Linked DNA regions of Mus musculus. The protein of the gene in region 2 interacts with the protein of the main gene of each other region in a pairwise test. Links are inferred from orthologs where the notes say so. Each region holds a gene or a part of one and is shown on either strand. Other genes may lie near its edges.

Region 1 (2,541 bases), on a different chromosome or scaffold from region 2:
GTCTGTCAGAAATAACCTATTAAATAACACATCACAACAAAAAAGAGAAAGAATAAAAATGTATCAGGTTAGTTTCCTTAGTGGCAGGTAATTCTACAGTTAACTATTTAATTCTGACATTAAAATTCGAATTTTTAACATCTTCTAGTTAGAAAACTATGTAAAACCAAACCCTACAAAATGAGGAATTTAAAATACAGATCTAAAGAGTAATAACAAAAAACTCAAATTCTGTAATGATCTCCAAATTTCAGGAGACTACAATGGGAAATTCCCCCAACCATCTGACAGCTCACGCATACTTCATGTGCAGGTATCATGGCCTGTGCCAAAATCCAGGACTCTCGGGAAATCAATGGGGCCAATAACAGCTTAAGCATCTCAGTTCCCATACCATTCTTGAGAAGGCAATGGATTTCTTTACATTTTTTAAATGACCACTTTCTCATCTGATATTCAAAGCTGGTCACCTTCCTTTGATAACTGATACTATTGCATTGTAAAGTTTTTTTGTTTTCGTTTACAAGTTTTATAATCAACTTGATAAAGTTTAATATTTTTTTTCATGCCAGCAATGAATAATATTTTGGTTTTAAGAACTGTTTTCTTTTGCTTTGCAGTACTGGAGATCAAACCATATACCTGTGGCACATGCTGCATAAAATGCTGAGCTATGTCCCCAGCCCAAAGAAAGAAACTGCTGCAAAATTAAAGACAACTTTCTTTTTTTTCCTTTTTTTTAATTAGATATTTTCTTTATTTACATTTAAATTTTTATCCTTTTTTCCCCTCCAAAACCTCCCATCCCATCCCCCTTCCCCTTCCTTTTGAACTGGTGAAGGCTCTAACTTTAAAAATGAGAAATTTAGAAGTTTGAAGGCTTCATCAAGGAAAATGAAGAGTAAACATTTAACTGTACACACACACACACACACCACTGATCTAATGAAACAGTAAACAGGCTACATGTATCCTAAGAATACCTGGTAGTCACTAGTGGAGGCCTTGTATGCTGTGGCAAGAGGCCTCATGGTAGAAACCCTAGGAGTGCTTCCGGACTGTGTTGGAGTGCCTAAAGTCCTGATGGGTGTTGTAAAGGCTAGAGATGGAGATGACAAGACTCCTCTGTCACTGTTTTCCATGACATTCTGGAGAAATAAAGAAACATGGGACACATCATCTAATACTGTGTAATACTTTCCCCAAAACACCCAAACACACACACACACACACACACACACACAAACTTATTAAAGACTACTAAATTTGACCATTTAAGTTTTTAAGTAAACTTAGCTTTGAGAATAAATACTATTTCTTAGCTAGAATTTGGGATCTAATCCAAATCAAACAGCCTCAATTTAATTATATATCACAAGAACAAGAGTCTCTGCATAAGACAGATGTTTTGGAATAGCAGGCTCCAGAGGACGTGAGAGAGGAATGGGGATGGATAAGCCCGGAACACATGATAAACATGTGCATTTGTTTAAAGCGTCTTAGAGCAGACCCTAAGGTAAGTCAGCAAGGACAAACAGAACTAACTCGTATAACTGTACAATTCCTATAGTGCCATCAGAGAGCCCTAGGGAAGAGAGGACTCTGGGGGTCCTGGGTGCCATGCAGCTTCAGACTCTGAGTGTCTCTTCCTACTCAGGTTCCCTTATGCGTTCTAAGAAACACCGTCTGCTTTGCCTGCTTTGTGTGTGCACTGGCAACAGGCACAGAAACTAGTATGCAGCATTCAGGAAAAGGTTTGCATATATTTATTTAAAGTATGTTCCAAAGGGGTTTTTTTTTTAAGCCACAAAACTTAAATTCTACTCACTAATGTTGAAAATTCTACTCACCAATGTTGAAAAAGTACATATAAAATAAACTTTAGCACTCTGAAACAGAAATGATTATCAGAAAACTTTAGCTACTTAAAGTCAGTTAGCATCCATGTGACATGTCTGTGCTGAGCAGCACCAGTCATTAGAAAGTTTATAAACCCTGATATGCTCTGAGCAGAAGTCAGAGAGGGCTAGTGGTCCAGACACCTAAAATCTACTTTAGTACTACTCCACACAAGTTACCTTTCTTTTTTAAAAAAAATGAAGAGTTCAGAGAGATAATCTCTAACATCTTGTAATGCCATTTCACAAACTAGGGAAAAGAAGAAAGGTGAGGCTAAAGGACAAACACTAATGTTAATATTTACCTGCACTCTTCATGCAGAATAAGTAAGCTACTTTCCTTAAATCACCCACAACTTACTTTATCTATACATGGCTTGACACCAATCATGATGGATTCTCCAAATATTCTCCCGTCTTTGCTTAAGGCTTTCCGGGCTTGCAATTTAGATTGGTAACGAATATGCATCCAGTTGCCTGTGTTAGACATCTGCAAACAATGAAATTGTTTCATAAGATACAAAATCCACACCTAACATACAAACATGAGGACAAAATTGACGTGCATTTTTATTTGATCCCCTATAAAAGCTGCATATTAGAATTCAGAAAGATCTATGGAAATAGCTTCTATACTCCCTCT
Region 2 (2,874 bases):
GGCAGTAAAAAGGCTGAGAATAAAGCCTTGGGGAACATGTTTTATCCTGAAATAATGCAGCCACTTTCCTTTGTAGTTTGACGCTTTGTATTTTAAAGATACTACCTCCTTGGGGAATGTAATATAGTTCTAGAGTTTTTCATGTATAAAAGATGATTTAAAGTTCACTTATGACATAAATAACAGATTCATAAAATGAACTGGAGAAAATAGGTCTTAATAATGGAATCCATCATAATAATGACTTTATAATATTTCTTATTCAAAAATCCCTTCAAATGGTTTCTGAGGAACTTGACTATATCAGAGCCTGACATGTATTGTCTTCGACAGTTTAGGCTGAGAACCTTTCTGCAGCCCTCCCATGCTATTTTAACTTATAGACACACACATTCACGCCAAGCCTTTCTCTTTGGAACCTTCCTCCTTTTTTACCAATCTCTCTCCTAGATCTCTTACTCAACACAGCAAACCATCATTGATGTTCATCAGCTACAGAGCAACACAAATCACTGGGTGTCTTCCCTAGTGCAGAAATGGAAATGCTGGAGCATGGTGGTCTGTGAAAAGACAGTCAGGAAACCACACCCAACAAGTAAATGTGCTTTAATGGCTTTTTCAAGAAACCTAATCCATTAAGAGCGCGGCCTGTGTGGTCCGCTCCTACATGGCACCATCATGAAGAACTGTGGGAAATGCAGAAAGTGCTGTCTTAGAAAAGCAAGAGCAGAAACAGGCCGTCAGCGTTCCACACTGGTCATTTATTAATGTGGTTTCCATCAGCTCTGAACCCCGCAGTTCCCACACACACTGTGTTTCCATCTTTCAGCTCCTTCTGCAGCCTCAGATATGTCTGCAGAGGACCATTCAGTGAATGAATACAGTCTATAATTATTGAAAATAGAGTGCAGTGAAATGAGTTAAATAGAATTTAGGCACATATTGATTATGAAAATAGGTATCTCTCAATACAATACTTCTCTGTCTTGGTAAAAATAATAACACAAAGAAAATAATTCATTTTTGAAATTGCTTTCCTTTCCCTGTAAAGGAGTGCTCTCCTCCCCATGTAAGCCCTTTACTGTGAAGGAAAGCTTTGCATATGTAGATATAAGAATACGCTACAGAATAATGAAGACATGCCACTCTCCTGAAGGAGACTAGGGAGTCTGTAATGATTCACTGCCTCAAGCCGACCAGCCTGTAGGATTTAGAACCCATTTGGACACAGCTTCTTCCCTGCTTTTGGGCAACAAATAAGGACACTGGGACACCTACGAGGAAGGTAAAGGCCCTACTACTGTGTTCACAGATAATGACTCAAGAAAACTGGACTAAAATTTCATTGAAAAACAAGACAAACAACAAAAACTATTTAAGAAAAAAAAAAAAGAGCGAGCCACAGGTACTGACATAGAGCATCGTGTCCTAGCCAAATGCTTCCTTTGTTCATCAACCTTTCCTGGTGGCTATAATCAAGCCATCAGTTTAGAATTTCTTAGTCCCCTCTGCAGGGTTTCAGCTATAATTATCTGATGTTGCCTTCTTGTAGGCGACTGCAGGATTTATTCATACTCCACCTGCAGTAGATTCAGATTGAAAGTCTATTCTAAGCTGGTTGTGTATAAACTAATTGGCATTACATGAACTGTGATCAGGCTAAAGCTTGTATTTTGGTTCTGACGTTTCTTCCTGTGCTTGTGACAACTGAGCATGAGAACTGGACGAGTGAAGGGAAAGAGTAGCCTAGTCTCGTGCAGAATGGGACTTGCCTCCAATGAAGCAGAAGCATGCTCACTAGACAGCTGCAGTACTGGTGAGCCCTTCCTTCTCCTGCACAAGGATACACAAGAGCTTTCCGTCCACTGTGTCTCAAAATGTGAGAGCAGATTATGACTCAAATTTAGCTGTTTTCTTCTTTAAAAGTAAACATTATAGAAATGAATCTCAAAAGAGCCACAGGGAGTCTTAAACTAACCACCCTCATGTGATAGATAGGTGTGTGAAGAGGAAGGCATCACTAAAGCTATTTATAAACCTGAACAACTCTTCAGAGTCTTCAAGACATTTAACAACTTAAACATCCTTACTGCATCTAGGTATTCAATAAATATATTTGCATATGTTGTGCTTTTCATAAATTAAAATTTCAAATGCATCTTGAACCAAGATGGCACTTCCACACAATGCCTAAATAAAAGCAAATATAATAGCTACTACTCCTGGTCAGAGACCAGACAAATGCCCCAACTCCACTCAAAATGCAGCAGCATCATCTACTGCCCCTACATCTATGAACAGAGTGTCCTTCTGTTACAGTCCCAATGAGGGGAAAGCCAATTACTTCCCCTTATGCACCTCTGGGAACAAGCATATGCCTTAAATTCCCTTACAATTTTATCTCCACTACACAACTCGATGGATGGATGGAGAAATAAAATAAGGAAACGCTTCCATCTGGGACATCTTCCTCCAGCTCCTGCCACTCTCATCTGACACTCTGGGACATATGTAATGGTGTCAGCATCTCTTCAAATATGGCACCCTTCACATTGGAGCCTCTCAGGTTGGCTTCCTGGAGGTCACACCCCGACAAATCACAGTTCTGTAAGACAAAACAAGACGTGAAGAGCTCAAATGATTTAGGATCTGACTTGGTTTCCCCCACAAAATGACTTCTGGCCATGACAGGACAATATTCCCAAGTGTTCCCATTATTGGAACCCTTCTTCTAATGCATTATGGCAATGTGAATAAAAATGAGCCCCATAGGCTCATATATTTTAATACTTAATCACAGGGAGTAGAACTATTTGAAAGGATTAGAAGAATTAGAAGGTATGGCCTTGTTGGAGTAGGTGTGGCCTTGTTGGA
Region 3 (3,661 bases), on a different chromosome or scaffold from region 2:
TGACTCATTTGCAACAAGGGGGAACATGTCCCACTCCACGTCAGTGTGAGGTACCCGACGGACTGGGGCTTGAGTTAGTGAGAATGGAGTCAATCAGTTGGTTCTCTTACTCCTGTCTAGAAAGCACCTAGAACACATGGAGCCTGAATCATCTATCAGAAAAAAAGAGAAGGTACAATCACTCACATTCCCCAGCAAAGGGGCGTAGGAGGCCATTTATGTGGTTTGGACAATATTCTGGTCCAACATCCTGAAGCAGTATTACTTCTGCTCTGATACATCACAGCCACTGTGGTCCTGTCTGATGCTTTATGGTGTTACTGATATGCATCAAAAAATCCAAGCCAGCTAACCATGCCATACCCCTCTGCTCTCTCTCTCTCTCTCTCTCTCTCTCTCTCAAAAAAAAAAAAAATTAGCAGGATGGCACTACATCGCTCTGGCTGGATCCAGAGAGCCTTCCGTGAAGACAATAAATCCAGTCTTCATCATCTTTTAAAATGCCATGTCATGGGTACCAGTGCCTTAACTGAGTTCATTTACTAAGAGAGTAGAGGCAAGCCAAGACAGGCACCATGCAGGAACCGTTTATCACCTTTCCTATGTGCAACCCCTCTGGGCTGGTCCTTCTGGAGCTCTTGTGTATTGTTCCTGAAGCCTGGGCTTGCTTTTTCTTTCAGCTCTAAGACCGCCCTCCGCGTGGGGAGCAGCGATACTCAGATGGATGAACCCAAGACCATGCCTGCCAGCAGCCACCTGGTGAGCCACCTCACCTGCCCCATGTGCAACCGGCTGCGCCTGCACTCCTTCATGCTGCCCTGCAACCACAGCCTATGCGAGAAGTGCCTGCGGCAGCTGCAAAAGCACGCCGAGGTCACGGAGAATTTCTTCATCCTCATCTGCCCCATGTGCAGCCGCTCGCACTGTATGCCCTACAGCCACCAGATGCACCTGCCAGAAAACTACCTGCGCGGGCGCCTTACTAAACGCTACATGCAGCAGCACGGCTACCTCAAGTGGCGCTTCGACCGCTCCTCAGGGCCCATCCTCTGCCAGGTGTGCCGCACCCGGCGCATTGCCTACAAGCGCTGTGTCACCTGTCGTCTCAACCTGTGCAACGACTGTCTCAAGGCCTTCCACTCAGACGTGGCCATGCAGGACCACGTCTTCGTGGACACCAGCGCTGAGGACCAGGATGAGAAGATTTGCATCCACCATCCATCCAGCCGCATCAACGAGTACTGCCGCAGCGACAACCAGCTACTCTGCGCTTTCTGCAAGATCGCTTTCCACAATGGCCATGACACGGTCAGCCTCATAGACGCCTGCTCCGAGAGGTCTGCTGCCCTCTTCAGTGCCATCGCCAAGTTCAAAGCAGGTCCCGATCAGTTTCCTGCTCCCCTTCAGTGTAACTCCCAGCTGTGAAAAAGACCAGAGGATGCTGTAGGGAACCTTTTGGGGGCAGGTTGTGGGGTGGGGTAGGGGGAGGTGCTCAAGCTGGTGGAGAAATCTAGACACTGGGAGAGCCTGAGATGGCCGCACAGGTATCCATGACAGCTATCACTGGCCAGTTAGTGTCTCTGTGACTCAGTTTTTTCAGCTATAAAATGGGAAGGATAGTGGTAGCTTCCTCATTGGGTTGGTGAGGATAAGAGGAGCTATCTTATGAAACATTCTCTCACCTCTGGAAAACAAACTGGAGAATAATAAGCACAGAAAGATCCTGTCGTTTTTGTTACAATTTTATTGAACTTTTGTCCCATTTTCCAAAAGGGAAAAATAAGTTTTCTCCAGTCACATCCCGAAGTTCTGCTTGTTTGTTTGTGTGTGGTGGTGGTGGTGGTGGGGTGTTTGGTAGTGGTGGTTTTTTGTTTTGTTTTTTTTTTCTGAGCATAACAGTTATTTTTAACTCCACCTCCCTGTTTCCAGGGGGGAAGAACTAATATAACGCTGAGAATCATCTCAATTGAAGTTATCTACCATGAACTTTCTGTCAAAATTGTAGGCAACAAATTTAAAGAACTGCTAATGGCCACATGGTAATAGGGAAACTCCAAAATAGGAGTAATATTCTGGCCAGCTCCTTTTTTTCCCTTCTGTCATGGTTGTTCATATTGGTGTATAATATAATTTATATAAAACCAACCCTGCTTTTTATACTAGAGCAAAGTACAATAATTTTTTGTAAAGTTCCATAAAAGTTTCATAATATCAAAATGTGCCTTTACCAGGTCAGACATGTCTCTGTCTCCAGGTAGACCTAGAAATTCATTTAGGGAATGGCTCCGCCCATAGAGGACCACTTCATATAGGTCTTTGTCTTAAAGTTTCTATTGCTGTGGTAAAACACCATGACCAAAAAACACTTGGGGAGGGAAGGGCTTATTTTATAATTCCACATCATAGTCTAGCATTCAAGGAAATCATGACAAGAATGTGAGACAGGAACCTGGAAGCATAAACTGGCAGAAGCCATGGAGGGATGCTGCTCCCGGCTTGCCCATTCATGATTAGCTCAGTCTGCTATGTTATAGCATCCAGGACCACCTGTCCAAAGCTAGCACCATTCACAGAGAGCCAGGAACTTCCAGCATCAATCATCAGTCAAAATAATGCCTTCGGACTTGCCTACAAACCAATCCTATGGAGTCATTTTCTCTATTAAGATTCTTTGTTTCCAGATGACCCTAGACAGAATGCTCTAGGAATATACCATGCCAGGCTCAATAAGCATACAGGGCAGATGTGGTGTACACTCCATGCATGAGACAGCTGTGCTTAAATAAAGTGGTCGGCAAAAGGCAGCTAGTAAGTCATGCACCCAGACTCTAACACCAGTGCTGAACAGTGACAAGACTCTCTTTTAAATTTAAAAAGAGTGTGGGGTGGAATTATTACTACTTATATTCCATGTCTATAAGAAGTGGTCTACCATCAATGGCTGAAGAATACTAGGTCAAGCTTGGTTGTTAAGACACCATTTAGTAGACATCAGGGAAAGTTACGTGTGCCAGGGGCATGTGGAGGAAGAATAGAGGGGAATTTATTTCAAAAGCCTGTTGTAGCCTGTGTCAGCCAAGCTAGGTGTTTCTCTCTCTCTCTCTCTCTCTCTCTCTCTCTCTCTCTCTCTCTCTCTCTCTCTCTCTCTCTCTCTCTCTCTCTGTCTCTCTCCATTTCCTTTGAGTCCAGAGATTTGCTTCAGTTTGATATGGCTTTGATATCTGTAGAGATGAAAATATTCACGGTAACCGACTTGGTTGTTTTTTTTTTTCAGTCCGATATGAAATTGATAATGACCTGATGGAATTCAACATTCTAAAGAGCAGTTTTAAAGCTGACAAGGAAGCAAAGAGGAAGGAGGTCCGGAATGGTTTCCTCAAACTGCGAGCCATCCTTCAAGAGAAAGAAAAGATCATCATGGAACAGATAGAGAATCTGGAAGTGTCCAGGCAGAAAGAAATTGAGAAATATGTGTACATTACGACCATGAAAGTGAACGAAATGGATGGCCTGATTGCTTACTCCAAAGAAGCCCTGAAGGAAACAGGACAGGTGGCCTTCCTGCAGTCTGCCAAGATCCTGGTAGACCAGATTGAGGAGGGCATCCAGAATACCTTCAGGCCCGACCCTCAGCTGCGGCTTCACTCCCTACACTGTATCC

What was found.
Region 1: the proteins of Kctd9 (region 2) and Nup35 interact in binary tests that used the Homo sapiens proteins (3 or more experiments, as listed by UniProt). The two-hybrid records come from large-scale screens. The link is inferred for Mus musculus from reciprocal best matches to the Homo sapiens genes KCTD9 and NUP35.
Region 3: the proteins of Kctd9 (region 2) and Trim42 interact in binary tests that used the Homo sapiens proteins (3 or more experiments, as listed by UniProt). The two-hybrid records come from large-scale screens. The link is inferred for Mus musculus from reciprocal best matches to the Homo sapiens genes KCTD9 and TRIM42.

Annotation. Positions count from the first base shown.
Region 1 is NC_000068.7:80,655,796-80,658,336, reverse strand, and holds part of Nup35 (nucleoporin NUP35), read right to left. Parts: intron 2,389-2,541; coding exon 2,260-2,388; intron 1,149-2,259; coding exon 984-1,148; intron 17-983; coding exon 1-16. UniProt on the Homo sapiens protein: Functions as a component of the nuclear pore complex (NPC).
Region 2 is NC_000080.6:67,740,027-67,742,900, reverse strand, and holds the end of Kctd9 (BTB/POZ domain-containing protein KCTD9), read right to left. Parts: intron 2,606-2,874; coding exon 2,489-2,605; 3' UTR 591-2,488; downstream 1-590. UniProt on the Homo sapiens protein: Substrate-specific adapter of a BCR (BTB-CUL3-RBX1) E3 ubiquitin-protein ligase complex, which mediates the ubiquitination of target proteins, leading to their degradation by the proteasome.
Region 3 is NC_000075.6:97,363,320-97,366,980, reverse strand, and holds part of Trim42 (tripartite motif-containing protein 42), read left to right. Parts: intron 1-680; coding exon 681-1,378; intron 1,379-3,274; coding exon 3,275-3,661.